Linked DNA regions of Pelodiscus sinensis. The protein of the gene in region 1 interacts with the protein of each later gene in a pairwise test. Links are inferred from orthologs where the notes say so. Each region holds a gene or a part of one and is shown in the gene's direction. Other genes may lie near its edges.

What was found.
Region 2: the proteins of REL (region 1) and PARVG interact in binary tests that used the Homo sapiens proteins (3 or more experiments, as listed by UniProt). The two-hybrid records come from large-scale screens. The link is inferred for Pelodiscus sinensis from reciprocal best matches to the Homo sapiens genes REL and PARVG.
Region 3: the proteins of REL (region 1) and ATG9A interact in binary tests that used the Homo sapiens proteins (3 or more experiments, as listed by UniProt). The two-hybrid records come from large-scale screens. The link is inferred for Pelodiscus sinensis from reciprocal best matches to the Homo sapiens genes REL and ATG9A.
Region 4: the proteins of REL (region 1) and OSGIN1 interact in binary tests that used the Homo sapiens proteins (3 or more experiments, as listed by UniProt). The two-hybrid records come from large-scale screens. The link is inferred for Pelodiscus sinensis from reciprocal best matches to the Homo sapiens genes REL and OSGIN1.

Annotation. Positions count from the first base shown.
Region 1 is NC_134713.1:180,083,567-180,091,153, forward strand, and holds the start of REL (proto-oncogene c-Rel), read left to right. Parts: upstream 1-4,579; 5' UTR 4,580-4,814; coding exon 4,815-4,821; intron 4,822-7,587. UniProt on the Homo sapiens protein: Proto-oncogene that may play a role in differentiation and lymphopoiesis.
Region 2 is NC_134711.1:121,883,406-121,891,076, forward strand, and holds the start of PARVG (gamma-parvin), read left to right. Parts: upstream 1-4,668; 5' UTR 4,669-4,902; intron 4,903-7,671. UniProt on the Homo sapiens protein: Plays a role with ILK in promoting the cell adhesion and spreading of leukocytes.
Region 3 is NC_134717.1:16,894-23,821, forward strand, and holds the start of ATG9A (autophagy-related protein 9A), read left to right. Parts: upstream 1-3,922; 5' UTR 3,923-3,964; coding exon 3,965-4,224; intron 4,225-4,522; coding exon 4,523-4,684; intron 4,685-5,065; coding exon 5,066-5,207; intron 5,208-6,928. UniProt on the Homo sapiens protein: Phospholipid scramblase involved in autophagy by mediating autophagosomal membrane expansion. Cycles between the preautophagosomal structure/phagophore assembly site (PAS) and the cytoplasmic vesicle pool and supplies membrane for the growing autophagosome.
Region 4 is NC_134722.1:38,364,392-38,372,024, reverse strand, and holds the start of OSGIN1 (oxidative stress-induced growth inhibitor 1), read left to right. Parts: upstream 1-4,616; 5' UTR 4,617-4,701; intron 4,702-5,283; exon of another isoform or gene 5,284-5,438; intron 5,439-7,202; exon of another isoform or gene 7,203-7,292; intron 7,293-7,633. UniProt on the Homo sapiens protein: Monooxygenase catalytic activity. Involved in regulation of cytokinesis; promotes RHOA activity, probably acting locally at the midbody in late cytokinesis.

The DNA of each region.
Region 1 (7,587 bases):
GTGGGGGAGGGGGAGGAGTGAGCAAGAGTAAATTAGTGTGTGATGAGATGAAATGATGTATTTGATTTTGCTAAATGTTTAAAATAATTAAAATGAGGTTTGGTGAGAACAGTGGAAATTGAAAGATTTATTTATTAATTGGCCATTGTAAAATAATTTTTGGACTATTGGGGACTGATTCTCATTTATACTCAGTTATGTGTACACCTACTTTAAGACCTGGTCTATGCTTAAAAGTTTGGTTAATATAGCTGCAATGCTTAGATGTGTGAAAAATGTATATGCCTGAGTACCATAGCTATGATGACCCAACCCCCATTGCAGACTCAGATAAGTCAATGAAAGAATGCTTCTGGTAACCAGCTGACATTGCTTGGGGAAATGAAGCATCTATAGTGATGGAAAAAATCCTTCAGTCACTATAGGAAGCATTTATTCTACAATGCTACAGCAGAATTTCTATCAATGTAGCTGTGCTGTGGTAGCCGTACTATACACCATTGCTGTGAGAGCTCTCTCACATTGCTGTGTCTAGAGAACTTTCTCTAAGTGAGAGTGAGTAGCTCAGCCCAGTCTCTGTTAAGCTTCAAACATGAATAAGCTCTCAGATAAATAAAATTAAAACTACAATAGATGCAAGTCAGCAACAAAATGTTTCTATACAGTATTAAGTTTTCTTATGTGATGTCAAGGTAGACAGTTCTTTCTATGGGGGCAGAGTTAAGGTCGTTAGAAGCATTGTTTTGAGGAGCACAACCTTAACCCTGAATTTTCTAGGTACTGTCATTTTTTAAAAATATAATGTTCTTGGGTTGCAGAATGCTCTCCAGACACTGATATGTGCCTGCTAGGAATAGTTTGAAAAATGGGCCCATGGACCAGCTCCTGCAAGCCCTAAGAGATCCAGTCCTGCAGAAGTTAGGAGGCATAGGGGAAAAGGGAATAACCCATGCCATGTTGACTACTAAGTGTCCTAACTCCAGTTTCTGGACAGGAGGGGGAGACCTCTGAAGAACTGGATAATGGTCTCTTCTTATAGCACATAGGAAGGGGGAGAGGAAAAATATGTCTAGGAAGAGGCTTGGGGATCAGCAATAGCAGGATGAGAGGGGGAGGGAAGAACCTCTCTAATTAGGATCCTAAGTTCCCTGCAGCTCTAGCTCCTCCGCCATACCAAAACTAGCTTCTGAGTCTGAAACATTCTTACACATGGTTCAGGATTCACAGACTCTCACTAGTCATGACAGGTTCACCAGCAATCCCCATTCTGTGAACTGTTGGTTGGAAATAATCCTTTTTTTGTTCCCTTTCCATTGAGGAGCCTCTCTAGTGGTCAGGTTTCCTCTTAAGATCTGTCTGTTCAGGGAAAGAGAGAGAGGCTTCTTCTTCTTTTCTTTTGTATTGAAACCATAAGTCTCTCTTAATTCCGTGACATCTTGTAAACTGGATTGCACGCTTAGCAGCTGGGGAAGTTACACTTTACTTCATATCTCTTTCTTCATGCCTTGTTTTACTACCAAAACTAAAACCCAGCATAAATTGACTCCACTCAGGGTCTTTCCAGGATCAACAACTGGGAGGAGCGAGGCTGTAGCCTTCCCCTTTCCTTTTTATTACCCTGTCAAAACCAGTTATATAATAGGCAGGACCTTTTGCATGTCAGAACATATTTTCAGCTGAATTAAGTTCACCAGTTTAGAGCAGATATTCCATAGCAATGTTAGCAATGCAAAAGTAAATTCACTTTTGACATTAGAATTTAATCACCTAAAATTTGATGTTGGACACAGAATTTCAGCTATTAAAAGACTGAATTTTATTTTTTCCTCTCTCTTGCTTTATGGATGTTTTTGTTTACTTACAAAGTGGCAACAAAATTAGAATATTTTTTTAAATTAATCAATCCACTCTTTCCAAGCTATCATAGTTCTGGAACCCCTTATCCAAATCACTTCCAAATCTCTCTCTTTTTCTCTCTGTAAAATCAGACTTGTGTTAGAAAATCTAAACTATGGCTCCCATGTAAATATACCTTTCTTGGGGTATTTGTTTGACACCTGTTAGTATCTAAGGTCCAAATCCTCAAAGGCATTTAGGTGCTTAATTCAATCAGCATCTTATAAAGTCCACTCCTAACCCTGTAGAGCTTTAGGATGCAATATGTGTGAAAGGTGCTGTACAAGTACAATACATCTGAAGTTTTGATTTTTTGGGGGAAAAAATCAATATGTATTCCTGTTCCAAGCAATAAATATACAAACAATGTTTGTTACATCTGTGGACCACTGAATTTCAATGATCTAGCCATTCATCCCTTTCAAACCTTTAATCAGGAGCAAAAGAATAGAGATTTGGATAATCTTACAGCCTAATCCAAAGGATTTCTTTATTTAGTTTTTATGTATACAGTTTAATAAATTAATTTGTACTACACCCAGTACATATGTAATAAAGCCTACCATGCTAACAATTGAATAGATGTGCAATACATAACATACTTGTCCTGATCCTTGGCAGGTGTAAAAGGCACAGTTCTCTAGAAGCAGAGGAGCTCTGTTGATTTAAACCAGCTAAAGTACTGATGCTAGGAATTTAGATAATATTATTGAGACAGAAGCCTGCAAATTTTAATTTTGTTTTGTAAAGGGAAAAAAAGTCTCTAATTTTACATACCTGCTAGTACAGGAAAAGTCAACTACGGATATTTAGGGAGGAAAAGTGCTTTTTTAGCCCAGTGTACAAAGTGATAGGGAGAGCATGTCTAGAAACATGGAACCAAATTCATACCTGATGTAGGCAGATTCTCATTTACTTCCATTGGGTTGCATTGGCCTACAAAATGATGAAAATAATATTATGCTACAATTTGTCCAATCCTTCTTACTTCAGGTCATAAATTGGTATGTTTGAATTTAAATATTTAAAAAATATGATTTCCTGTTTTGGTGTTTAATGTATTATCCTAATATGCCTAGTTTAAAATAAAAAAGGCTGAGATAGGAAGAAACATGACAGAAAATATCAGTTCAGTGCTATTCTTCAGTACATTTTCAAGCCATCGTTACTGTACTAATTTTTAATGTGTCTTGTTCAAGAATGTTACTTTAGATTTGTTGTTTATTACTTGCCATTATGTATGATTGAAACATTCTCAATTAAAAGATTTAAATGCTAAAAACTTGTTGCTAGCTCAGTGCAAAGTAATCCTCACGTCACCAAAAAAAAATAAAAAATCTGTGAGCAGGGATTCTTTTACTCTTTTAGACTCGCTCAACATTGACCTCTCTGCAAATCATGGAGGTTGGAGCCAGTATGGCACCTGAATCTAGATTTCTGCAAAGTTCAAGGGATGTCTGTAAACTGTTCCAATTCAACTAATTAAAGTAGTAGGACTGAGTTAGGGATGTAAAATCCCATTTAATCTGTTAACTGGAAAAATATTATGGTTAACTGGTTAACTGCTTAAACTGGGGCAGGCATGAAAAAAATGTTAAAATCTTGAATTACAGCCACTCCCGGAGTTACGACCACCTCCACTTACGACCATCCGCACTTACAACCAAAGCAGTCATAAATACGGATCCGAGTTACGAACGGCGATCTGCGCTTACGAACAGTGCGGTCACCATGTAACTCTCTGGGATCCAAGTTATGAACACTTTGAGTTACGGACCAAGTGTTGATCCGTAACTTATTCGTAACTCGGAGAGCAGCTTTGTTTTTAGTATGTCACAATTGAGGAATCAATTGTCAAATTTGCTAAAAATATCATATTTAATCTACTAATGTTGGTTATTATAGTCTGGGAAATAAGGAGCTCAATTGGTCATTCAATTGCAACCATGATTATGGAGCTGCTTGATACTGATACTGCAGCAGTGTGAGAGAGTGTAATGCATTGCACCCAAGTGGGACGATTGCCTGGACATCTTGTGCTTGTTTTACACATAGGCAACATTGTGAATTTTGTCATGCCCATAGATTACTGTTGAATTGACTTACTGTGTTTCATCTGAAGATGTGGGTTGTGCTCATGATACCATCTACATGTTTTGTTAGTCTCTAAGGTGCTGTAAGACTATTCGTTGTATTTTAAGTTGTAAGTTGTCCCGTCTGAGGTTCGCACTTTTAGATATTTCAAAAGCACGTCTCTTGGTATCAATGTGGCTACCCCGTGTGTGTGAATTATAATTATATATGGGGTACCTGTACGGTGTGAAGAGGGGCTGTGTGTATTTGTGTGAGATAGAAGCAGAAGAGGAAAATCTGTGCATGCCCAGCAGAGAGGGCACTTTCACACTACCCCACAAGCTGACAGTGAATCAGGAACCGCCTGAACCTGTCTTGCCAGTGGCAACAGAGGACAGCGCCCCAGCTAGTGCTGGCATGCGAGGCGTATGTTACACTCTAGCAGCCAAGCGAGGGTCAGCCTGGCATGCGAGGAGGTGCAGCTGGAGGAAGCAGGTTGGGGGCGGGGAGCAGCCAGCAGATCGCTACACCGCGGCGTGTGGGCACTGCATGTAGCTCTGTAGCACGGAGGGGGGAGGGGACAGCTTGCTGCTACTGTAGGTAGGTGTATCCCCGCTGAGATCATCCCTCCCCTCCCTTCCCCTCAAGCGTACAGCACAGGGCAGCCGCAGCAAGCGTGGGGGGGAGACCGGCCTTTTTGAGTCCGACGTCACCAAGCCGTCACCCTAGCGGGAAATTCCCAGCCGTAGGGAGGAGCGGCCGAGGTAGGGCCGGGACCAGCTGAGCCGGAGCATCAGGAGAGCGCGGAACCGCCGCCGCGGAGAGTCCCGGGCTGAGCGGGCACCATGGCTGGTAAGTGGCTGCAGGGCGCTCTCCATAGGGCGCCTTGCGCTCGCTGCGTGGGGCCAGCTCCTCTGCAGCCCGAGCCCCGGCGGGGCGGCCGGTGGAAGGGCTGCCCCGTGCAGTGTGGGGACATGCAGTGATACGGAGCTTGGGCTTGCACTGCAGGCTGTAGCGTCGATCTCCTGTACGCGTGCAAAAGCCTCTGAAGCCCCGAAGGGCTTAGCGGGTGAGGAGAGGTCACCTGGGGGGCTGCGAACAGTGCAAGCGTGTGACGAGGTGCCTAACTTCCGTACAACCGGCAGTGAGTTGGGCTGGCGTGCCCTCCTCACCCAGCTTGGGCAGAGCTCTGGGCTTGGCAGAAGACACTTGCCTTCTATTCCTGCCGTGAAGACATCTGCTGCCAAGAGAGGCTCGATTGACATTATCTGACCTCGCCCAATGGCAAGTTTCTGAATCTGACATGGCTGTGTATTCAGGGTCTACTGTGTGCGCACCGACCTAAACAAAAACAGCTCCACCAAGGCCTTGATGAGAATATGACTTGAGTGTGACACACAGGAAGAGGTGGTGAAGGAAAGAATTAATTTTTGTTGTTGTTGTTGATGAAGGGAAGTAGCCGTGTGAGAGCTAGTCGATGAGGAAGTCTGTTCACATGACATGAGTTTCAAGTGTGGCTTTTTGTAAGAATGCCGGCAGAATTTTATAAGACCAAATTCACCATGGGTGTAAATGTCAGTAGTTCTGTTCACTTCACTATAGTCATGTCCCCAACATTTAAAATTCCTCCTTCCGCTACTACTTTCTATGATAAATCAATCAAAGAGAAGAATATGAAACAAGTGTAAAATATACACACAAATATGCCTGTGCCTGAGCTTATCACAAAATTTACACCATGTGAAATTTTCTGTGGTAGAAGAACAAAATTAAACAATACGTTTATGAATACTCAAGTAATTTTCTTGACACAGTTTGGACCAAATTTTCAGACTTGGATATTAAAAAGTAAGGCATCTAAATCTGTATTCAAACAGTTAAATATCTGAGTTAGGTCCCCAAATCCCTATTAAGATGCCTAAAATAGGTGTTTAGTTGTCTAATTGTGAATATTCACATTTGAAAATGCAACCCCAATGTTCTGTTTTGTTTGCAGTTAGTGTATATAGGAGAATATAACAAACATTATATAAGGGACAGTCACATTCACTTTCCCTCAGCTGTCATTTGGTTGAAGGTGGGAGAGGAAAAGCTGGTTATTTGATCAATATGAATGTCCTTTAACAAAAAAAAACCCAGCGGTGGTGGCATGAGAGGGGGGTGAGCCCATTTTAGAACCTCTTCTGAGAACCTACTCCTTAGGTAGACATGAGCTCCATCCACTGCTCTGACATCTGCAATAGGCTTGCTAGATCCCTTCCATACTCACATCCATGGTACAGGTGGATGAGCACTAACCCCCTTTTCACAAACATCTGACTGCTTTGTTTGTACGAAGCTCTCCCTGGGTGCTAGTTTGTTCCCTCCTTTGCTGCTTAACATCTGGGAGGAAGGCACTGATTCTTATCCTGCCTTACCTTCCCTGTAATAAAGCAGGGTTTTTTTGAGGAGGGGTGGGAAGGAGGAGAGTAAATGCCTGCCAGTGGGAGGGAGCTTTGGAGAGTCTTCCTTTTCCTATCAGGGCATCCAAGGAACCCAGGCTCCTTCTCAGCTGTCATAACTGGGAATGAGATTTATTTCTACTGTGAGCATGGGTATTCCTAAAGGGCCTTAAAGGTGTCATTTTATCCCTTGGAAAGAAGGTAGCAAAACTTTTAAATAAAAATAAATGGTCACCATATTGGACAGTTGGTGCCTCTGATCCTTGTGGGTTGTGGCAGTCTTGAGGGTAAGAGAGAGTTGCATTTCAATCACCCAGAAATGTCCTAATTGCAAGAGTTAATATAACATGAAAAGCCCCAGTTGTTTAAGAGGTGTGTCTTAACTAATTCATGCATGCAGTGATTTTTGAGGCTCAATATATATTGCACATGAACAGGTTATGAAAATTACTAGTGATTTTTGGCTGCTTAAATATGTAGGTACCCAACTTCAGACATCTTAAAGGGATATGACTTTCTAAGGGTAGGTGTACAGTGCCTATACATTGTCTCAAGTTGAGCACCTAAAAATGGAGTGCCTCCCTTCCTAAGTCACTAGTTGCATCTGAGAATCTTGGCCTATTTTTGTTATTCATTAAGAATAATAAGCCAAGATTTTCAGATGTTTTGCTAAAAAGGCGACAATCACAATTTTTAGAAGCAATATTAAATCCTTGTCCAAGTAGCTCTTAGGTAGCCATAAGGAATAAGTTAATGAACAAACATAACATCTGAATTAATTAAAACATTAAAAGATTCTGATAATGTTCAAAATGGCTCATTGAAATATAAAAGAAAAATGAATCCTTGTTCAAATAAAGAGACTAAATTTACAGTATATGTCTCAGATTGGGGCAAACATCAGTTGGCTAATGTCAGCTTAGTGCTTAACTGATCCCAATTCAAATTAGAAGAGGTGATGGCCAAAATAAATTAGTATGAAAGGGAGAGGCAGTACCATTGAAAGTGATCACAGATTTGGTAGCCATAGGAATCAAAGTTCTAATTTAGTTTCTCTTGGTCTCAGCAAAGTCCTTGCATTCCACATCCTTTGAAAAGTTTGTCCTCAGGCATGTTTCATAAGGATTTAATAATTTTTAGTTTTAGAACTGGTTGCATGAATTAGAGTGATTGCTGG
Region 2 (7,671 bases), on another chromosome or scaffold:
CATCTTTATTCTAGACAGTAACTGCAGATCTGCTGCCTACACTCCTTGCCTGGCCTCACTTCCTGGCTTTACAATGTTATCCCAACTTCCCTCCTTTACCACAAGCTCTGCTTCCTCTATCATTAGGCCCTATCACTATTCCTGGAGTGGACCCAAAGTTTATCTAAGGTTAATGGGCCCCTTCTGATCCATATTAACTGGTCCAGGATGTGTAGGATGGGCCTAGCATCACTCACTTGTTAGATTTATAGGTATTGGAGCTAAGTAGCACTCCCCAGCTTGAAGTGGTTTCCATCACACAGAGGGTTTACAGTTTGGGTCAATGGATCTCGACACCTCCACTATACAGCTTGTTCCAGCCCCCTTGTTTAGAGACCATGCAAACCTGGGCAAAATACAGCCTGTAGGCTGGATCCAGCCTGCCAAGCCCCCAGATCCGGCCTGTGGATGCTGCAGTGAGCCCTAGGCAGGCTCCCTGCTTGATGTGTCCCACCCACATGCTGTTCAGAAAAGCAGCTGCGAGGCCATTTCTCTTTAAAAACTGAGAACCCTGGGGGAGGGGAGAAGGCTTCAGGCACTGCTGCTGCCCCCAGCACAATCCCATTGGCTGATTTCTGGCCAGAAACCAGCCAATTGGAGCTGCCTGTTTTAATGACAGACAGTACACAAAGCACCATGTCCCCCTCCCCTCCGTCTCATAGTTATTCACACAGGCACATAGCCCTGCAGCCTGCGTGGGGGCAGGGTAGGCTCCCTGCCTGCCTGAGAAACGTGCTGGGCTGCTGGTCCAGGGTCACTCAGGTAAGTCTCCTGGACAGAGCCTACCTCTGGCACCCCAGCTCTTCCCATCCCCAGTCCTCTGCCCTGCTCCTGCATCCATATACGCAAGAGCTCTCAGTGGCCAGAAAGCTGCAGCCCCTTATTTGTCCTGTCAGCCACTTCTTTGAATGAAAGTTACTTTCAATCATCCAATGGGTAGTTGGCCAGTTGGGTGCCCCAGATCACAATCCCCTCTTTCACTCAAACTCCCTCCCAGACCCCACTCTCCCTCCTGCACCCTAGTCCCCTCCCCCAAGCTCCCTTCTGCACCCAACCTCCATCCCAGACCCCAAACTTCCTCCATTAATATCATGGAAGAGTGCAGCCCTTGACCACTTCGCAAAATTTTTGAGTACCCCCCCCATCAAAAATTATTGCCCATCCCTGGATTGTTGTGCTTAAATTGGGGCACATTGGAGGAGAATTGTAGACTAGCACCTGCAAATGTGTAAGTTAATGAGAGGCAGGTTGTAGGCACAAAATCCCAGTTAGTTTGGCTGAATGATAAAGAGAGATGGCAATTCTGAAGCTGTTTTTGGAATTTTTAGGAATTTAAGAAAGCTGTTTTAGGAAATTTTTCCCCCCCAACACGATGTAATGTCAAATATGCTATTAAAACCTCCATGATTACGTTCAATAGCCAGTGGGAGACTATCTGTGGGAGCAGAATGGCAATCATGTACCATTCTGTGATGGCGAGGAACAGAGACATGGTTGAGGCTGTAACTTGGAGTAAAAATGTGACATTTTAAGAAAAGAAAAATTTAACTAAATATTGCATAGGGCTATAAGAGTGAGCCCCCTTGGGCCGTGGAATAATCTCCCAATGGAAGTGGGGGAGAGTCTTATTGTTTATGAGACTTAAAACTAAATTGGACTAGCCACTTGAATTTATTTCTGGGACTCATCGTGCATTGGTAAGTGGATGGATACGAACTCACAGGCTTTCCCCACCCGTAAGACCATTATAATATTTCTAAATGTTAGACTAGGAGAAAATCTAAATATTCTACCCTAAAGAACAATTTTGCCCTTTCTGACTTCATAAAGAAAATATTTAATCAGCTAACTTGTGGGTGTCTCTGTATCCTACTTACGAGAGAGATGCAGCGTTCTGTTCTGCAGCATAACCACAATTTTCCCTATCAGTAAAATACCTAAATGTAAAAGAGATTTTTCTTTAGACACCGACCATGTTTTTTAAAAGAACCTGAGTTCCATTTTCACAAGCGCATAAGAGCCTGGCTTTTGTTTACTTTCAGTGGCCCCTCACGAGCCAGGCTGTCAAAAGCATTTACTGTAGATGTCTAATGACACAAATAGCTGGACAGCGAGCCTTTCTAAAGGCCTACACCCCAACTAATCCCCAGAGCTGCTCTCACACTTGAAAATCCTACCAGGCACCTAAGTTTCCTCTAAACTGTGGGGCTGCACAGCTTCACATTAAGCCCTGCTCAGGGTATCAGTGTTGGAGCAGGGAGAGACCCCTCTCTCTAAGTCCTGATGCTGATGAGGGGTGCCCTCTGCCTCAGCTTAGAGCTGAAGTGGCTAGCGGAGCACCCAGGTAAGCTCAAGATCCAAACCCTTGCCCCACCTAGTGCCCCTTCCAGCCCTGAGTACCCTCCTGCTCCCCAAAGCCCTCATCCCTGGCCCTACCCCAAAGCCCACACTCCCAGCCCAGAGCCTGTACCCTCTCCTGCACTCCAACACCCAGCTCATAGCCCTTCCCCAAACCTGGATCTCCCTCCTGTACCTCAAACCCCTCATCCCTAGTGCCATCCCAGAGCCTACACCCCCAGCCAGAGCCCTTGCACCCCAACCCTCTTTCCCAGCCCTGAGCCCCTCAGCTCAGCCTCACTCTGGAACCTGCATCTCTAGGTGGAGCCTTCACACTTCTGCACCCCAACCTTCTGCCCCAGCTCTGAGCCCCTTCCCACACTCAGAGCCCCTTGACCCCACTCCCACCATGTGAATTTTTTTATGTGCACCAAATGAAGATGATGTCACAGCACTTTCGTGTTGCACAGCACCTCCGCACTGATGCACATAAGAACATTCTGCTCAGGAGTGGGAAAAATTACAGGGAACGCTGCCAGGCACCTAGCTACATCTTTTACATATCTAAATACCTGTGAAAAATCAAGTCCCAATCCATGTTGGCAATTTAAAACCTTCTGATTTGGGACAGATTTCCTTCCGTCAAACCTCCTCACCACCACTGATGTCAAAGAGGGTTTTTCTGAAGGTGCCAACAGCATCTCCAGATGGCCTTGTGTGTCTCTCTTCTTTTGCTCACTGCTTTGTCTCTTTTACTTGATTTTTTTTATACCTTTACCCAAGCTAGTGCCTGTGACATGGGCCTTGCTCATGGATTAATAGGAAGATAGCATATCCTTGTTTTGCGTGTATGATTTTATTTTTCTCCCTGCACATGGGGTGAATCTGTGAGGGGACAATGGAAGTTTACCCCTGTGGTCCAAAATCAAGCATTCCATGCTGAGCTGTCAATACCTATGAGTTCATTGACTGAATATCTCTGTTCCATTTTGACTTGGTTATAATATTCCATATAATATTCCAGAATTGCCACTTATTGTCTAGGATGCAAAGCAAAACATAGGGGAATCTGAATACCATTACAACAGATTGACTTCATTTGTGACAGTGGCTTCTTATCCCATTGTGTGGATTTGCAGAGGGCTCCAGGTTTGTTTTCCATCTCCATGCAAGTTTTAAAAAATTACAATCACCACTTGGAAGAAGAGCCTGAAGAAAATGAGTGTTGCATGTAACTTTTCTACTAAGCTGGGGAAATAGACGTAATGCATTGCCCAGGAATGTAGAATAGCAGGTGCCATGCAGCACAGAAGAGCAACAACTGCCTAATGCTTTTGATTTCTGGATATTTGAGGCAGGGGAAGGGGAGACGTGAGAAACAGAGACAGTGTTTTATGTACATTTTACTGTATATTTTAATTTACATTTACTGCCATTATTGTAGACACTAGGGCTGTGTCTAGACTGGCCAGTTTTTCTGGAAAATCAGCTGCTTTTCCGGAAAACTTGCCAGCTGTCTACACTGGCTGCTTGAAATTTCCGCAAAAGCACTGACTTCCTACTGTAAGAAATCAGTGCTTTTTACGGAAATACTATGCTGCTCCCGTTCGGGCAAAAGTCCCTTTTGCGCAAAACTTCTGCGCAAAAGAGCCATTGTAGGCAGCTGAGATTTGTTTTCCGCAAAAAAGCCCCAATCGCGAAAATGGCGATCGGGGCTTTTTTGCACAAAAGCGCGACTAGATTGGCCACAGACGCTTTTCTGCAAAAAGTGCTTTTGTGGAAAAGCGTCCGTGCCAATCTATACGCGCTTTTCTGAAAATGCTTTTAACGGAAAACTTTTCCGTTAAAAGCATTTCCGGAAAATCATGCCAGTCTAGACGTAGCCTAGTAGAGACTATACTTGCTGCCATCAGGGTCTGAACAGAATTGTGGTTTCGTTTTTCAAAAGTAACTTAAGAACTGTGTGTAACTTTCGTCTTGATAATCTTCAAGCTGCTTTGAATGGAAGGCAGCAATTTCAACACAAAGCTGCCCAAAACTTCATCATCTGATAGGTTTCATGCTCTTTTCCCATGACCTTGCTTCGAATTGACCCCCTCGAGTGACACTTTTGAAGAATTAAAAGCAACATGGTATCAGTACTTTTATATAAAATGTTCACATGCACATTGATTATATGCACATTAGCCAAACAGCCTCTCTTTCTGTTGCTAACAAGCAAAAATTCTCTTGAAAAAAAAAACCCACAGTGCAAAAGGAGGAAGTAAGGGACTGTTCTAAACTGAGTGCAAAGAGCTAGTCTTCCTCTTTGTTTCCTACCATCTTGTCTCACGGTGGTGTTCTAACAAACAGCAGCAGGATAAACTTAGGTGGATTAATTAAATCCTCGCACGTGCAAGGTTTATTTTTTCAGACTCAAAAGCCTTTTGTTTGGCACTAATTTTGAGCTTATTTGGAATACTGCTTTTGGCTTGTTCCAGCAGGAAATAAATCAATTCAAACTTCTTGGTGTCTTCATCTGCAAAAGTAAGTGTTTCATGTATATTATGGTAAAGTATAATTAGGAGCAGTAAAAACATAAGCAATAGTTCAGGGGAAATTTGGGGAACCAGACTGTGAAGGGGAAGTAGAGGAAAAGCTAGGTAATTTGAACTATTAATACAATTGGTTATTTTTCTACCAGAACCATCTTATCTGCTATTTTCAGCCATTAAGGAACTGCTGCACTACAGCTTGTAGTATTCTAGCAATTTTTGACCTCGCTAAAAACTTTCATTAACTAGTCCTAGAGATTGCAGAAAAATGAATAGTTCTGGTCTTTGAGATCTACATTTATGATATTGTCTCCGTAACAGAGAACCAACAGATGCCATTTTTCTGGAAGAGTGAAAAGTAAGGCCAGTATGATTTAAAAATTCCAGATCGCTCTTCTAGTATTTGTTTTATTCCAAGTGGTGTTCATCAGGTACAAGTATACAATGCATGCCTGGATGCAGTGCCAGAGAAAGTGGCCTGGTAGTAAAGGAAACATAGAAAACATGGTCTGCAGAGCAGCAAACACTCTCCACCTCCCACAACACAATTAAGGAACTGAAATAGAAAAAAGATTCCAAATGCATTCACGTGCCCCCATGATGTTAGTGCAGGCAGTTGTCTGGGACGTGTACAGACATCCAGAGGTGGGAGGGGAGTTGTTTAGCACTGAAACTTACTGTATCAAATTTTTGAGCTTTTTGCTGGAGCCGGGGTACTCAAACTTACTGGCCCACCAAGCCACGTACAATAATCTTCACAGATGTGGCAGGGTGGTGGGGTCACAGGGCACCAAATCCTGACAGGGGCCTTCCAAGGGGCTGGAGCTCTGAGCCCCCCTCCATTGGGCAGAAATCCTGCACCCCACTGCGGGGCAGAAGCCAAATAGGAAGGAGTGGTGGGTATCCTGAGCTGCACTATAATTGTAAAAGAATCACACTGGGCTCACGAGCTGCAGTTGGGCCACTAGATTGTAATGTGGAGCCTGATCCAGAATGCATCGTTATTATAATAACTAATGATCCTCTGAAATGCTGAGGCCCTCAGTTCTCAGCTGAGCCGATCATTGAGCCCGAAGAGTGTATTTACATTTGCTGCCACCAATTTTTAATCTCAGGCCTGTTCATGCATGACGTCAAGAACTTCCTGTGACAGGCAGAGATCTGCAACCCCTGTAGCAGTAGGTGCTCAGAATCTTGCCAGTTTGTCAGACATTTGTATGAGGTCCTCCCTGGTTTTCCAGCATGTCCACACAGCTCCTTAATCAATCAGAGTCAGGGTTCCCAGGACCCAACCCCACAGCATTCTGCACCCAGGTTGTCAACTGCCTAATCGCACAAACCCAAGCGCTCTTGCTCTCCAGGGCACCATTTTGGGAGGCCAGGAGGGCAGCAGCCCCCGTCCCCCTGTCAGGGAGTGAGGGGAAAGGACGTGGCCTCTGTGCATGCCTCTCACTCCTGGCTGGTGAAGGGAGGGGGCAGGGGATTAAATCCTGGAATGCAAGTACTTTCTCTTTGCTCCCTGATAGTCAGGGGAACGGGAAGAAAAGGAAGCTGCGTCCCGGTGCGCACGGCTGCTGCCCCACTATGCCTCCCGAAATGGCGCCCTTGCTTGCTCTGCCCCTACCCCACCCTTTCTCCAGTCTCCATCACTACTCCAGCCCCCTCCCTCCATTGCGCGTTATCCCCCACCCTCACTCACTTTCCCTGGATTGGGAGTGGGAGGAGAGGCTGGCTGGGGGCTGGAGCTGAAGGGCTCAGAATGTGGAAGGGGACTCCAGGATGAGTCTGGGGCAGGTGGTTGGGGTGCCAGAGGAGGTGCAGGATTTGGTTTCCTTCGGGAGTTTGGGTGCAGGACGGGAGTTTGAGGTACAGGCTCTCGGTTGGACTTTGGGTGTGGGAGGGGACTCAGGGCTAGGGGAAGGTGCAGGAGGAGGTGTGGGACGCAGGCTCTGGGCAGGCTCATGCTGAGTGGTGCCTGAAAGTGCCATCCTGTCCCTCCAGGTCCTAAGTTGGGGGCAGCCAGGCAGCTCTGCATGTGGGTACTGGCTCCAGGGCTCCCATTGGCCATGGTTTCTAATGGGAGCTGTGGAGTCAGTGCTTGAGGCAAGGTCAGCACACGGAGACTCCCTGACTGCCCCTGCACCTACTTGCTGCAGGGACATGCTGGCTGTTTCCAGGAGCTGTGAGGAGCCAGGGGAAGCAGGGAGCCTGCCTTAGCCCACTGCACTGCCAGCTGGACTTTTGGCCCATTGAAATATCCCAGGTTGCTTTCAATAGTAACTGGGAGATTGAGGCTGATTCCAGGAGACTCGTGGACCATCTGGAGGGGGTTGGCAACCCTATTGTGAACCCTTGTAGGCGTGGGGAGTGAGAGAGTGGCAAATACAGGCACTGTGCAGGATAGCAGAGAGTCCCTGAACTGTACAGTCTAATAGACAAGGCAGACACCTGGAGGGGAATACACACACCGCGTGACCAGTATGGCAGTGGCCAATGTCTTGTTTGTGCTGTAATTTCTCCAGCCATCCCTTTTTGGGGGGTTTCGGTAGAAGGAAGTTTGGTAACTGGAAAGAAAAGTGGCGAGGGAAGGAACACTGTGGTGAAGGAGGAGGGGAAGGCAGGACAGGGTGAGGATGAGGGCAAGAAGGGCAGATGTGGTATGGCACAGCATCCTCATTCCTCTGGTGAGTTAGTCATACAGTGGGTCCCAGCTCAGCAGGAAGGGCAACTTCCACAGGGCCGCTCCACCCACCCCACTTCC
Region 3 (6,928 bases), on another chromosome or scaffold:
CCCCCGACTCGCTCTCCCCCCCCCGGCCTGTCCCCCCCCGACTCGCTCTCCCCCCCCCGGCCTGTCCCCCCCCGACTCGCTCTCCCCCCCCGGCCTGTCCCCCCCCCGACTCGCTCTCCCCCCCCCGGCCTGTCCCCCCCCGACTCGCTCTCCCCCCCCCGGCCTGTCCCCCCCCGACTCGCTCTCCCCCCCCCGGCCTGTCCCCCCCGACACGCTCTCCCCCCCCCCGACTCGCTCTCCCCCCCCGGCCGGTCCCCCCCCGACTCGCTCTCCCCCCCCGGCCGGTCCCCCCCCGACTCGCTCTCCCCCCCCCGGCCGGTCCCCCCCCGACTCGCTCTCCCCCCCCCCGGCCGGTCCCCCCCCGACTCGCTCTCCCCCCCCGGCCTGTCCCCCCCGACTTGCTCTCCCCCCCCCGGCCTGTCCCCCCCCGACTCGCTCTCCCCCCCCGGCCTGTCCCCCCCCGACTCGCTCTCCCCCCCGCCTCGCTCTCCCCCCCCGCCTGTCCCCCCCCGCCTCGCTCTCCCCCCCCCGCCTGTCCCCCCCCGCCTCGCTCTCCCCCCCCGGCCTGTCCCCCCCGACTCGCTCTCCCCCCCCGCCTGTCCCCCCCGACTCGCTCTCCCCCCCCCGGCCTGTCCCCCCCGACTCGCTCTACCCCCCCGGCCTGTCCCCCCCCGACTCGCTCTCCCCCCCCCGTGGCCTGTCCCCCCCGGACTCGCTCTCCCCCCCCGGCCTGTCCCCCCCCGACTCGCTCCCCCCCCCCGTGGCCTGTCCCCCCCGGACTCGCTCTCCCCCCCCGGCCTGTCCCCCCCCGACTCGCTCTCCCCCCCGTGGCCTGTCCCCCCCCGACTCGCTCTCCCCCCCCCGGCCGGTCCCCCCCCGACTCGCTCTCCCCCCCCCCGGCCGGTCCCCCCCCCGACTCGCTCTCCCCCCCCGGCCTGTCCCCCCCGACTCGCTCTCCCCCCCCGGCCTGTCCCCCCCCGACTCGCTCTCCCCCCCGCCTCGCTCTCCCCCCCCGCCTGTCCCCCCCCGACTCGCTCTCCCCCCCCGGCCTGTCCCCCCCGACTCGCTCTCCCCCCCCGCCTGTCCCCCCCGACTCGCTCTCCCCCCCCCGGCCTGTCCCCCCCCGACTCGCTCTACCCCCCCGGCCTGTCCCCCCCCCCGACTCGCTCTCCCCCCCCCGTGGCCTGTCCCCCCCGGACTCGCTCCCCCCCCCGTGGCCTGTCCCCCCCGGACTCGCTCTCCCCCCCCGGCCTGTCCCCCCCCGACTCGCTCTCCCCCCCGTGGCCTGTCCCCCCCCGACTCGCTCTCCCCCCCCCCAGCCGGTCCGCCCCCCGACTCACTCTCCCCCCCCGGCCGGTCCCCCCCCCGACTCGCTCTCCCCCCCCCGGCCGGTCCCCCCCGACTCGCTCTCTCCCCCCCCCGGCCGGTCCCCCCCCCCGACTCGCTCTCCCCCCCCGGCCTGTCCCCCCCCGACTCGCTCTCCCCCCCCCGACTCGCTCTCCCCCCCCCCCCGGCCTGTCCCCCCCGACTCGCTCTCCCCCCCCGACTCGCTGTCCCCCCCCCGACTCGCTCTCCCCCCCCCGACTCGCTCTCCCCCCTCCCGGCCTGTCCCCCCCGACTCGCTCTCCCCCCCCCGGCCTGTCCCCCCCGACTCGCTCTCCCCCCCCCGTGGCCTGTCCCCCCCCGACTCGCTCTCCCCCCCCGTGGCCTGTCCCCCCCCGACTCGCTCTCCCCCCCCCGTGGCCTGTCCCCCCCCGACTCGCTCTCCCCCCCCCGTGGCCTGTCCCCCCCCGACTCGCTCTCCCCCCCCGTGGCCTGTCCCCCCCCGGACTCGCTCTCCCCCCCCGGCCTGTCCCCCCCCTGACTCGCTCTCCCCCCCCCCGGCCTGTCCCCCCCCTGACTCGCTCTCCCCCCCCCCGGCCTGTCCCCCCCGACTCGCTCTCCCCCCCCCCGGCCTGTCCCCCCCCGACTCGCTCTCCCCCCCCCGGCCTGTCCCCCCCCCCGACTCGCTCTCCCCCCCCCCGGCCTGTCCCCCCCGACTCGCTCTCCCCCCCCGACTCGCTCTCCCCCCCCCGGCCTGTCCCCCCCCGACTCGCTCTCCCCCCCCGGCCTGTCCCCCCCCGACTCGCTCTCCCCCCCCCGGCCGGTCCCCCCCCGACTCGCTCTCCCCCCCCCGGCCGGTCCCCCCCCCCGACTCGCTCTCCCCCCCCGGCCTGTCCCCCCCGACTCGCTCTCCCCCCCCGGCCTGTCCCCCCCCCCGACTCGCTCTCCCCCCCGCCTCGCTCTCCCCCCCCGCCTGTCCCCCCCCGACTCGCTCTCCCCCCCCTGGCCTGTCCCCCCCGACTCGCTCTCCCCCCCCCGGCCTGTCCCCCCCCGACTCGCTCTCCCCCCCCCCGGCCTGTCCCCCCCCGACTCGCTCTCCCCCCCCGTGGCCTGTCCCCCCCGGACTCGCTCTCCCCCCCCGGCCTGTCCCCCCCCGACTCGCTCTCCCCCCCGTGGCCTGTCCCCCCCCGACTCGCTCTCTCCCCCCCGGCCTGTCCCCCCCCGACTCGCTCTCCCCCCCGTGGCCTGTCCCCCCCCGACTCGCTCTTCCCCCCCCCGGCCTGTCCCCCTCCCGACTCGCTCTCCCCCCCCCGGCCTGTCCGCCCCCCGACCCGCTCTCTCCCCCCCCGGCCTGTCCCCCCCCGACTCGCTCTCCCCCCCATGGCCTGTCCCCCCCCGACTTGCTCTCCCCCCCCCCTCGGCCTGTCCCCCCCCAACTCGCCCTCTCCCCCCCCGGCCTGTCCCCCCCCGACTCGCCCTCTCCCCCCCCGGCCTGTCCCCACCCCCCGACTCGCTCTCTCCCCCCCGTCCTGTCCCCACCCCCCGACTCGCTCTCTCCCCCCCCGGCCTGTCCCCCCCGACTCGCTCTCTCCCCCCCCCGGCCTGTTCCCCCCTCCCAAATCGCTCTCCCCCCCCCGGCCTGTTCCCCCCTCCCGACTCGCTCTCTCCCCCCTCGGCCTGTCCCCCCCCGACTCGCTCTCTCCCCCCTCGGCCTGTCCCCCCCCGACTCGCTCTCTCCCCCCTCGGCCTGTCCCCCCCCGACTCGCTCTCTCCCCCCTCGGCCTGTCCCCCCCCGACTCGCTCTCTCCCCCCTGTCTGTCCCACCAAGTATCCCCCTCCCGCTCAGTCCCCCCCCCCACTGACTCGGTCTCTCGCCCAGGCCCCGGCGCTCCACGCCCCCCCGGCTGGTGACATGGCGCACTTCGACACCGAGTACCAGCGGCTGGAGGCCTCCTACAGCGACTCGCCGCCGGGGGAGGAGGACCTGCTGGTGCACGTCCCCGAGGGCAGTAAATGTGAGCGGGGGCTGGTGGGGCTGGGTGGGGGCAGGCATGTGCGAGGGGCAGGAATCGCTCAGTTCCTTGGCGGGCAGGGATCCGCTCCGGCCCACGGCCGCCAGCCTGGGGGGATTGCGTAGACCCGGCCCCCTCGCTGCCCTCCGTTGTGTCACAAGAACAACTAGCCCGCAGTGAGCGCCCACCCCTCCCTCCCGGGGGCAGGCTGCAGCGTGATGGGCCATCACCCCCTTTCCCTTCTCTCTGTCCTGCAGCTCCCTGGCATCACATAGAGAACCTGGACCTCTTCTTCTCTCGCATATCCTTGCTGCACGGGGGGTGGTCAGAGCAGCATCAGCTTGGCCCGCAGTCTGTCTAGGCAGGTCAGCGTGGGAACAGCTGGCGCAAGTCCCATCTCCTTGGCGGCTGCATTGCTCCCGGCCCGGAGGCCTCCAGACGAGCCAAGCAGCCGAGGTTCCCCTTCCTGAGGAGAAGGGCGGAGAGGAGCTGTGGGGGGCGGGGGGATGGGGCAGAAGTGACTTTCTCCACCGTTGATGGGCCGCCCGGACCTCCTATGTCAGTACGACGTTGGGCTCGGGATCCGTCTTTTCCTAGCTCCGTGCTGCCGAGGTCCTACCCTACTGGCTATGGGGTGTCCCCGGGGGGGGCGGGACTTTGGGTTCCTGGGGCAGGCTAACCTGGCCTTCAGCCTGGGCTGGGCACGGAGGCCAGGCCTGCCTCGCCCTGCAGCCATCCGACCTGACTGGTGGCCAGTGAGAGGATCGGGATGGGAGGGGGTCTGGGCCCGTCTCCTGGCTGTTCTCCTTGACTGCGCTGCCCACGTCTATAACCTGCATCAGAAGAACGGCTTCACCTGCATGCTGATTGGCGAGATCTTTGAGCTCATGTACGTCTCGGGGGCTGGGCGGGGGCAGGCTTCCTCTGGGCTCTTGCTGCAGTTGGGGTGAAGGGCTGGTTTCTTTGAGCCCCAGCATTTCCACTCACCCAGAGTTGGGATCAGGGCCCTCCCCTTTCAGTCAGGGCCTGTCTCCCTCTCCCGCTTTGGTGGCCACCTCCATCCCCAGGAATTGGTCCCCTGCTCCCCAAATCTGCTGATGTCATGCCAGGGGCATTGGGACCTGGGGCCTATTGGTGTGTTGGGGGCAGGAGGAGCGTTCCCCTCACGGCCGCTGCCTCGCCCACAGGCAGTTCATTTTCGTGGTGGCCTTCACCACCTTCCTTGTCAGCTGCGTCGACTACGACATCCTGTTTGCCAACAAGATGGTGAATCACAGCCAGCACTCCAGCGAGCCCGTCAAGGTGACGCTGCCAGACGCCTTCCTGCCTCCCAGCGTCTGCAGCGCAAGGTAAGGGCAGCAGCCACGCCTCCGCCTCCAGCCCTGGCAGCCTGTCACCCTTCCAGGCCAGGTTCGGAGCCAGAGATCCCAGGCCTCTCCCGGAAAGAGGTCGATGGAGTGGTGGATTCTCTCCCCCGTGTAGTCCACAGCCCTTGCTCTCAGAGGCTGCAAGTCCCTGGTTTGGCTTGACCTGCGTGGCCGGGCTGCCTTGTGTTCTGGGTCATGTGTTCCTGTGAGTTGTGCGTGCTGGCGGCATTCTGTGCATGGTTACGTGGCTGGTGTATCCACCCCAGAGGTGGGTGTGTGCACTGAGTTCCGCTCGGGCTCCCGCGGGATACGGCTGCGCGGTGGGCTTGCCGAGCTGCAGGTGTCGTCTCTTCTCCCTCGCAGAATCCAGCAGAACGGCTTCCTCATCTCCATCCTGGTCATAGCCAGCGTGTTCTGGGTCCATCGACTCATCAAATTTATCTACAACATCTGCTGCTACTGGGAGATTCATTCCTTCTACATCAACGCCCTCAAGATCCCCATGGTGAGCGGCTGAGCCCTAGGAGAGGAGGTTCACCCCACCCCTCGCCCGAGCCTCATTTCTCCGTCTGGGGCCCCGCCCACTGCCCGGACAGGTTCTGGTCAGAGGTGATGCAATCACGTGGCTTCCTTTCAGCTTGTTTTCGGCAAACGCCCGCGTGGGGGGTGTCGGGTCTTGCGGCGCAGCTCTCCAGCCAGTGCTGAGCTTTTGGACCGGCTCGGCCCCGCCCTGCCGTGCCAGAGCCTCGCCCGCGCCAAGCTGCCTTGTCCAGCTTTCCCAGGCAGGGTGTAACCAGGGAATCACTGAGAGGCTCAGTTCAGGGCAAAGTGTTCATGGACAGAGTTACTTACAGCCCAGCACTGGCTTCCCCCGCTCTAAGGCACCAAACCACTGCTACTCACCACACTGGTTAACCAGAAACCGCACAGGCAATGGCCTGCGACGCTCCAGTTCTCCTGTGCCCACCCAGCCCCGCTCCTTACACAGGGGAGAGGTTCTAACCCATCCCCCACCTCCCCTCAGACACCCCAGTGCTCCCTGTGCCCCCCCCAGCCCCACCTCACATAGGGGAGAGGTTCTAACCCATCCCCCCACCTCCCCTCAGACACCCCAGTGCTCCCTGTGCCCCCCCAACCCCTCCTTACACAGGGGAGAGGTGATAACCCATCCCCCACCTCCCCTCAGACACCCCAGTGCTCCCTGTGCCCCCCAGCCCCATCTTACACAGGGGAGAGGTTCTAACCCAACCCCCACCTCCCCTCGCACACCCCAGTGATCCCTGTGCCCCCCCAGCCCCCCTTACACAGGGAGGAGGTGACGACCCACCCCCCTACCTCCCAACAGGTTCTCCCAATCCCAGGGCGATTTATGCCTCAGATCTCACCCCAAGAGCTCTCTGGTCCCGTCCTTTAGCATCTACGATCTCAAGGCTTATTAATGAGAAAAGGGGGCTTTAGAATTGGTGACAGGAATCGGAACTCCCCCCCCCCCCCAATTGCAGGGGTCTTGGTGCCGGCGGGCGGCCGAGATGGACGATCTGCCGGCCTAGGTCACGTCTCTGGAGCGTGGCACGATGGGCCCTCGTCCTTTCCGGCTGCCACGGCTCACGGGTCCTGGCCACCCACCGGCACCAGGACCCCTGCAATGGGGGCGTCTCATCCCTCGTCCTTCCGGCTCCGCTTCCTGGCAGGGACCCGGCGGTGCGGAGCTGGATTGAGGGCCTGTGGCGGGGCTGCCAGGCCCCCGGATCCCCCGGCCATGGGGCTGTCACTGTGGGTCCCAGGGTGGAGCGTGTCCGTGGCCGGCCCCTGCCCAGGGCTCGGGCCTCCCTAGGCCACCGCGGCGCTGCCCCCCAGACGGAGGGTCTGCAGGAAGGTCCGTTCAGTGCGGCTGGCGCCCCCCAGCTCCACTGCCTCTTGCTGGGTGGGCCCGGCAGCCGGACCAGCCCTCCCCACTCGCTGGCTGCTGCTCTGCTTCCTCACTTCCCGTACAACCATGACACCTGCGTGTGAGTAGCATCAACAGTGACTCATCAGCGTTCCCCAGACACCTCCCTTGGCGTGAGATTTCAGGCGAACATAGAGCAGGGGTCATGTTCGGATTACCGGCCCGTCTCCCCCAGGACAAGGCCGGAATCCCCATTGACGGGTAGGGAAACTGAGGCACCGTGGGGTTCGGCGCCGCGGGGGAGGGGGGCTGCTTCCCCGGCTCTGCCAGACTCCAAG
Region 4 (7,633 bases), on another chromosome or scaffold:
TCTCTCAGCTGGAGTGATGAAATAACCAGGCCAGGGGTAAGCACAACAGGCAGGGCAATTGCAGAGGAGCTTGTCCTGCTATTGCCCATTTTATCCTTGGTACAGGTAGGGGAGCCTTACTTGTGATGCAGGCAGGAGATGTCTCTGGACTGTATCTGGTTCTGCAAATCAGAGTGAGGTTCATTGAGGGTTTCCAAAGTCATCAATGCCAGGCTGCACACTATCCATCAATAAAGGAATGAAAACCTTTGCTTTTTATGTTGTGAAAGCCCATACTCATAAGAATAAATTAGCCAACCTTAAGTACAGAGGGGAGGGATGCCTTTGTGAAAACCAGACCAAATCTTAGCATTATGTACAGCATAGAGCAGGTATAGAACCAAGATGCTTCAGGATACCATACTCAAAGAGGCTCTGGGAGACAGGCCCATAGTCTCCTATAGACAACCACCTAACCTCAAGATGATTCTTACCAACCACCACAGGACATACCACACTAATACCAACCCTGGTACCTTCCCTTGCAACAAACCCCGTTGCCAGCTTTGTCCACATATTCATTCTGCTGATACCATTATTGGACCTAACCAAGTGAGTTATAAGATCAAGAACACATATTCCTGCGCATCCAGAAATATAATCTATGCTATCATGTGCCGAAAGTGTCCGTCTGCTATGTACATTGGACAAACATCTCAGACACTTCGCCAAAGGATTAATGCCCACAAAACAGATATCAGACAAGATCACAAAGAGAAAACAGTTTCTTGCCATTTAAACCAGAAAGGTCACTCTCTCAATGACTTGACCACCTGCATTCTGCTACAAAGACCTTTTACATCTGCACTTGAAAGGGAATCCTCTGAACTGTCATTCATGTTAAAATTCGACACTTGCCAACAAGGACTTAACAAACATTTGAACTATCTCACCCATTACCAAGACAGTTTCCCCAATTATCACCTCTAATACCATTAACTCACAAACATCCCACTCTCCCTACCTCTAATATCATCAATTCACAGACACTTACCTTCCTTCCTCCCCCCCCCCCCCCCGCATCCCCCTTCTGTTCTGCAATGTGATTTGTCCTTTTCATATTTGTTCATTTTTTTAATTGTATCCTTTGGTATATATGGTTGTGACTACTTTCTTCCACTATTTGATCTGAGGAAGTGGGTCTGGCCCACGAAAGCTCATCATCTAATAAACCATCTTGTTAGTCTTTAAAGCGCTACATTGTCCTGCATTTTGCTTGGTCTTTCAGCGCTTCAGCTGGAACAGCAGTCTCAGCTGACTGCTTCCCAGGAGTTGGTGAGAACCATGGCAGCACCAATAAGGAAATTTTCTTTGCCTAATAAAACATGAAGTCTTTTTATATTTATTTTTACTGGAATTAGATGAAACATTGAACAGTAAAAGTACTGTCCTTGCCTATGGAATAGATCACTCTGGGCATGTCCCAGTAATTATATATATGGCAGGAACATGAAGTGCTAACTTGTGAAACAGCAGCATGCCAAGAGAGTTTGGAATTGAGTGAAGGTTCACCTATGCCAGAGGCATTGGTGGAGTCTATAAAGATGCACATGAAAGTAAAGATTACTCTTCCCCTGTCGTGCATGGCCTGAATGTAAAGAACAGAGAGATTTCTGACAATGAAGATGATATTTTGCCATTTAAGATCAGAACCCGGCAGTGCGAAGTCTAGCTCTCTCTGTCTTCAAGCACAAGGCATACATATAATGGTGGATAATTTGAACTAGATAGTCTCTGTTGACGCCATTGAAACCTGTAGCAACAGTAAATAGCTCATGGGTATTGTAGCAGACTGGGACATCCATGGGTTGTCTGTGTGTGGGCTTGTACCCTGAGAAAGTATATAATTACATATCTGAACCAGTTCCCAGGAATAAACTGCCTTAAGTGACCAAAGAAAGAAAATGTGAAACACACTGGGGCTAAAGGAACAAAATCCAGAGCAAACTCTGTCCCTCTTCCATCAAACCACAGCCTTGCCAAGTGGTATTAGTCCCATGACAACACTTCCTTGTGCACTATGGAGAAGTTTTGTTTAGTCACTGACGCAGCATGGAAGGCGTGTTCGTGTGGAACTTTCTGGCTGCACTTAACTTTATGCCAATATGGATGCCAGTAAGACCAGAGTTAACCCTTAATGTGCCAAAATGTGATCCTCAAGATCACAAGCCCTTATTTCACAAACAGTTTGCTCTTTAATGTCACTGAGACATTAGTGTTGGATTCAGGTGGGTTTCTGTTAGATCAGGTGCTGTTCAGGAGTTATTCTGGATTAACTGAGGATGGAATTAAATCTTACATTCTGTTGTCTGTCTGGGTCTAAATTTTACTGTTAATTTGTTTTAAATATTGAATTTCTTTATTTCTAATAGTAAAATTTTGAAAGTTTAAGGGGAAAAAAGAAGTCTTTGCCGTTCACCACCTCTTAATTACTGGACCTTCTCTTTTGGTTTCAGAAATCTTTTCCGCTTGCCATGCTAGACAGAGGCAATCTGATTCTTTCTATGCTACTCATTGCATGCCATATGCCTTGCAGCAGTGTAAAGGGAGGCAGTGAACGCTTGCTTGTGCAAACTGCCTATCCACTAATTGTTTGCAAAAGATTAAGCTTTGTACTGGAGAGAGTTTGGAGCTGAGCAAAATAAGACTTAAATGTGCAACGTTGGAGTAAGAGTTGGTGCCAATTCTCAAAACAAAGTGAACTGAAGTTTCTGATTTAGAGAAACAACCTTAAAATGCTGTTTTCTAGAGATACGGAAGTCACACTGATGTTCTATACAAGAACGTCTGTAAAGTTTTCCTCTGGGCCATATTAATCAAATGACTAAAAATGAACTGGTGGTCATAACTCTACTTGTGGGTCACAGGCTACTTGCTTCCTCTTCTGGAACATGCTAGCAGATTGTGACAGACTGCATTAGACTCAGAAAGAAATCTGAGTTAAATTCCACCCTCCCATTTCCCACATGCAGGAGACTCACAAAAAGAGAAACAGATCAGAACAAACCTGGAGTGGAGTCAGTGGGGTGTTTATATTAAGAAAACAATAACAAAAGCAAGCCAAGATAAGCTATTTTCAATGGTCCTACTGTGGAGGCAAGTAAACTGTGTGATATAGTAATGTTAAGTCATTTATAGTGATAGAAATGTAGCCGTGTTAGTCTGGGGTAGTTGAAGCAAAATGCAGGACAATGTAGCACTTTAAAGACTAACAAGATGGTTTATTAGATGATGAGCTTTCGTGAGGAAGTGGGTCTGGCCCACGAAAGCTCATCATCTAATAAACCATCTTGTTAGTCTTTAAAGTGCTACATTGTCCTGCATTTTGCTTCAAGTCATTTATAGTCTGGAGAGAAAGTACTAACATCTATCCATACCTCATGAACACTGTGTGAAGGAGACATTCCTTAGCAATGATGTAATTGACTTCCTGGGCCAGAACAAGTCAGTAAGATTACAATATAGGGAGAAGAGGTGAGAGTGGCAGTCCTGGAAATGGAAAAAGCTTCTTAAATAGACTGTTTAAAATAAATAAACCCTCTACATGAGGAACTAGCAAACCCCTCATTACTGGATAAGTAAAATAGAAATATTGAATGTGGCCACAAAGAGTGATAATCTCTCTTTGGAGTTATGTAGAAATAAACACAAACTCTAAATTTTAAGAAGTATTGAACTATGGAGAAACTCAGAGTAGAGCCTAGATTCATATCTGAACTTGGTGGCACATGCTGCAGTTGGGGTTTCTGAAAATTGTCTTCCATCCTCTTAAGTCAGTCATTTTCAATAGGACTTAACAGTACTGTATTTTATGGCAAGAAGTGTCAAGCACATTAAAGTTAAAGATTCAGTGTCTGACCCCAGCAGTATCTCTCAGTCTGGAAAGTTTATGGCTGGTGGTAGGGGACCCCAGCCCCTCCTTGCTCTGTCAGGTTTCAACTCAGGGCCCTGTGACTGGCTGCTTAGATATTCAGAATGCCATCAGGATCGCTTTCATTCGTGTTTTTAATCACCTCCAAAGTCACAACAAGAGCTGGCTTGCAGTCTCCTGGCTTGATGCCCCAACTCTGGCTCTGCTAGGTATAGTGTTATTACTAGGCCCCACTGAGTCTTCAGGAAGTTGATGTGATACTTTTGCATCTTCTTTTGCTTTCCAGGTTGACAGATCTCAGGCAACTGGCCAGACCCTCTTTGCCACTGGGCCAGTAGTTTTGATGTAGATGTCAGTAGTAACACTATTCCTTTCACCAGGTTCAAATTCCCTCCCCACCTCTACCCCCATCCATGGGAGGTGTATTCCTGGACTTGTTGGGCTTTTACCGGGTTCTCTTTTGAGAAGCATCCATTCCTGTAGCTGGGATACGTATGAGACTGAGCTCATGATTTGCAGTTCCTGTTCCTCATGGTCTTCTCAAAGGGGATCCACAATCCCCACAGGCTGTCTCCCCTACAATAGCTGAAAGTGTGCAAACCTTGTGGGAGCTTGGGGGATTTATTTATGGCAAACAGCAGTGATAGCCACAGTTGGTCCTAGTGCTGAGCCTGTGCCCATGAATTTTCTTAACATTTTTTTCCAGGTCCCACTGAATCGCTCCACTAGACTGTTACAATGCACATCTATGCATTGTAAATGGAGGTCTTGAGAGCCTGCATCTTCAGTAGGTAAGACAATTCCCACATCAGTGTGCCTGAAGTTGGACCCGGGGTCTCTCAGTATTTCGGTAGGGGGCAGTGGTGTTTATTTAATATGTACTAGCCAGCTTCTTTCAATGAAGTATGGTTGAAATTCAAAATATCAACCAAAAGGGGAGGACGTTCCTCCTGTGTGATCAGCTGGAATTGCAGTATTGCTGACCCTACATAGTCCTAAAAGATTCTTCAGTTTTAATGAAAGCATGCTGTACTACCCTGCCACCCTTAATACCAATAATTGTTGCTGTGGCAGCTGAGTGTTTTAAATAAATATAAACTTCAAACGTCAACCCAATACAATGCAGATTAATTTATACAAAAGACTCTTAGGCTAAAAAATAAAAAGAATTAAAATCTGTTTAGTGTTGGATTCTTGTCATGTGGGAGCAACAGAGGTCTGGTTCCTTTAAGGCTGTTTTTCACAATGTTTATTTCCTTCATGATGTTATCTTACAAACACTAAGTGACTCTGCATGGTTCATTCATAACTAGGGTAAGTGAAGTAGTGTTGCTGACTCATGCTTAGTGAGTGATTTTTCTAGTCCCTCCCACCCAGACTTCAACCCCACCTCCTTAAACTAAGAACTAGTTGCCTACTATATTTAATAGCTGTCTTGGAGCTGGGAGCACTATACAGTCAAGACATGTGTGTTCTGCTTCTGTAGAAATACAAGACTTTTCCCTTCTCATCAGCTTCATTTTCTGAGGTAAGAGGACTGTAGATATATAAAGCAAGCTTTATTAGCCAGGCATAAGTAGCACATTGCTTTCTAGGCTGGCACAGGGGAATACTTTTAGAAAGAAGGTGTCTCACATAACCAGATTGCTTCTCAATTGTTTCTAAGGAAATATTTGTGGTGGGATCACAAGAATAAGACTGACAAGGAGTATGTGATGATGTATTTTGTTGGACCAACTTCTGTTGGTGAGACAGGCAAGCTTTTGAACTTACACAGCAGAAATTAAAGCAGAAAGATTCTATTACAACTTTAGAAGGATGTAATGTACTAAAGTGTCAGTATTTTAAAAAAGAATGAATGAAATTAAATGATATTGCCTATAACTGCCTGTGAAATTAACAGAGAACAAAAGAAATTAACAATTGATGGAAACTGCTGTGTATGTGACAAACTTTTGTGTCTCTTGTTATACCAGAATCTCACAGAAACACCTGCAGGCCACTGTATTATTTATATACCAGCTGCTTGCCTTGCTTAAAACTGTTCCATATCTTGTACAGGCTTGCTTTTATGGTACTTTTAAAAGTAAGACTCCTGTTGATGACTTGGAGCTTTGTATTGCTAACCGATCACTGCTTGCTCTCTCCCTTCTTTGGATTTTTAATTCAATTCAGTTGTGCAGCCTGGAAATACTAGGGGTCACATAGGCTTGTTTTATGTGCGTGATATCTTACGTCCAATGGGAGTACGTGTGTAACGAGAACAGGATTCAGCCTTGGAAGGGTAAGTTAGGCATTTCTCTTAGCCAGAACAGTTATGTAACATTAGCTAAGCAGTGCAGCATTTTGGTGGCAATGAGGGAGCGGCTTCTGGAGTATGATAATAATAGAACTGAAAGCACTTCCAGATTGGGGCATAAGGGGTGTTGCAGGGAATGGCACAGTTAAGTTGGAACCCTAAATTAGAAGCCAGTACTCTGAACACAATCTTTGAGATGGCTGAGTTGGAATATTGGGCGTTGTGTTTTACACAAAGGAAGGTGAAAAGGAAAAGAACTTTGTTTCTCTTGTCTGAGGTAGCTTCCCCCCTCCCCCCCATCCTTCCCCATTACACTTTCGTAGCAAGTTCAGTATAAATCCTGGGAAACCTCCCATGCACCTGGGGCATTTGAGTAACAACACTTACAGTGAATAGGATTTGACCTGCTACCTGGATTTCAATGGAGAGAACGTGTCCTCCCAGTTTGTAGTGTGGTCCAAAGATTTGATCTTTGATTCTAATGACATAAGAGAATTTTTCTCCCCTGTGTCTGCAGCTGTTCTATATTTACAACATGTTGAGCTAAATCTATTTCCATTTATGCAAATGGCTGTAATGCATTTGCAAAGGTATAAACTGATGCAGAACTTGGCCCAAAGATGTTAGCTCGCTTCTGATAAAACAGGTAAATTACATTTACTATAAACTACACAGGTGGCAGATCTAAAGCATGAAAGGAATACTTCTATAATCTGTAGAGTTGTTCAAAGATAACTATTAACAATAAGTTTGCCTATTATTCTACACAAAAGGAAATTATATCCAGAGGTATCAACCACCTAACCAGATGCACAGCAATGAAATTGGCATAAAGGGGTACACTTGGTTTTTATGTGAACTGTTTTAGTGCTAGTTTTATCTAATCTGGATTTGTAGCTAAAACATCCCCACAGTGTAACCAGTGGCACTACCCTTACCAATAACTGTGGGTATAATGTCCATGAATGTCTCTTTCTTTTTACATATCAAAAGCCATAGAAGCAGACTTTACACCTTCTGGGCCCCTGCTGTAGACACATAGCAGAGCAGAACAGCTAAAAGCCAACACAACCTGCTCCTGAGGTAGGCAGAACTACACAACGGGTTCTGGTGCATTTTGCTCCACCTATGTCCCCTAAAAGAAGCATTTTAGCAGCAGTCTCAGTAGTAGCATGATATGTTCCTATGCTGTGCTGCCAGTGACTGGCTCATAGACCATTGCCCATCCGCAGAGAGCATGTAGCCATTTATCAGCAGTGTTTCTGTAGACTGTTAGGGGAGAAATACTCACCACTGTTTTCTAGGGACTTTGTATCCTTCCTCTTCCCTCACTGCATCTAAACAGAGTCATCCAAACCTTCATGATTTACTCTGCTAGGAGACATACCATGGACCTGTATGTTGTGTGGAACGGTCATGGAGGG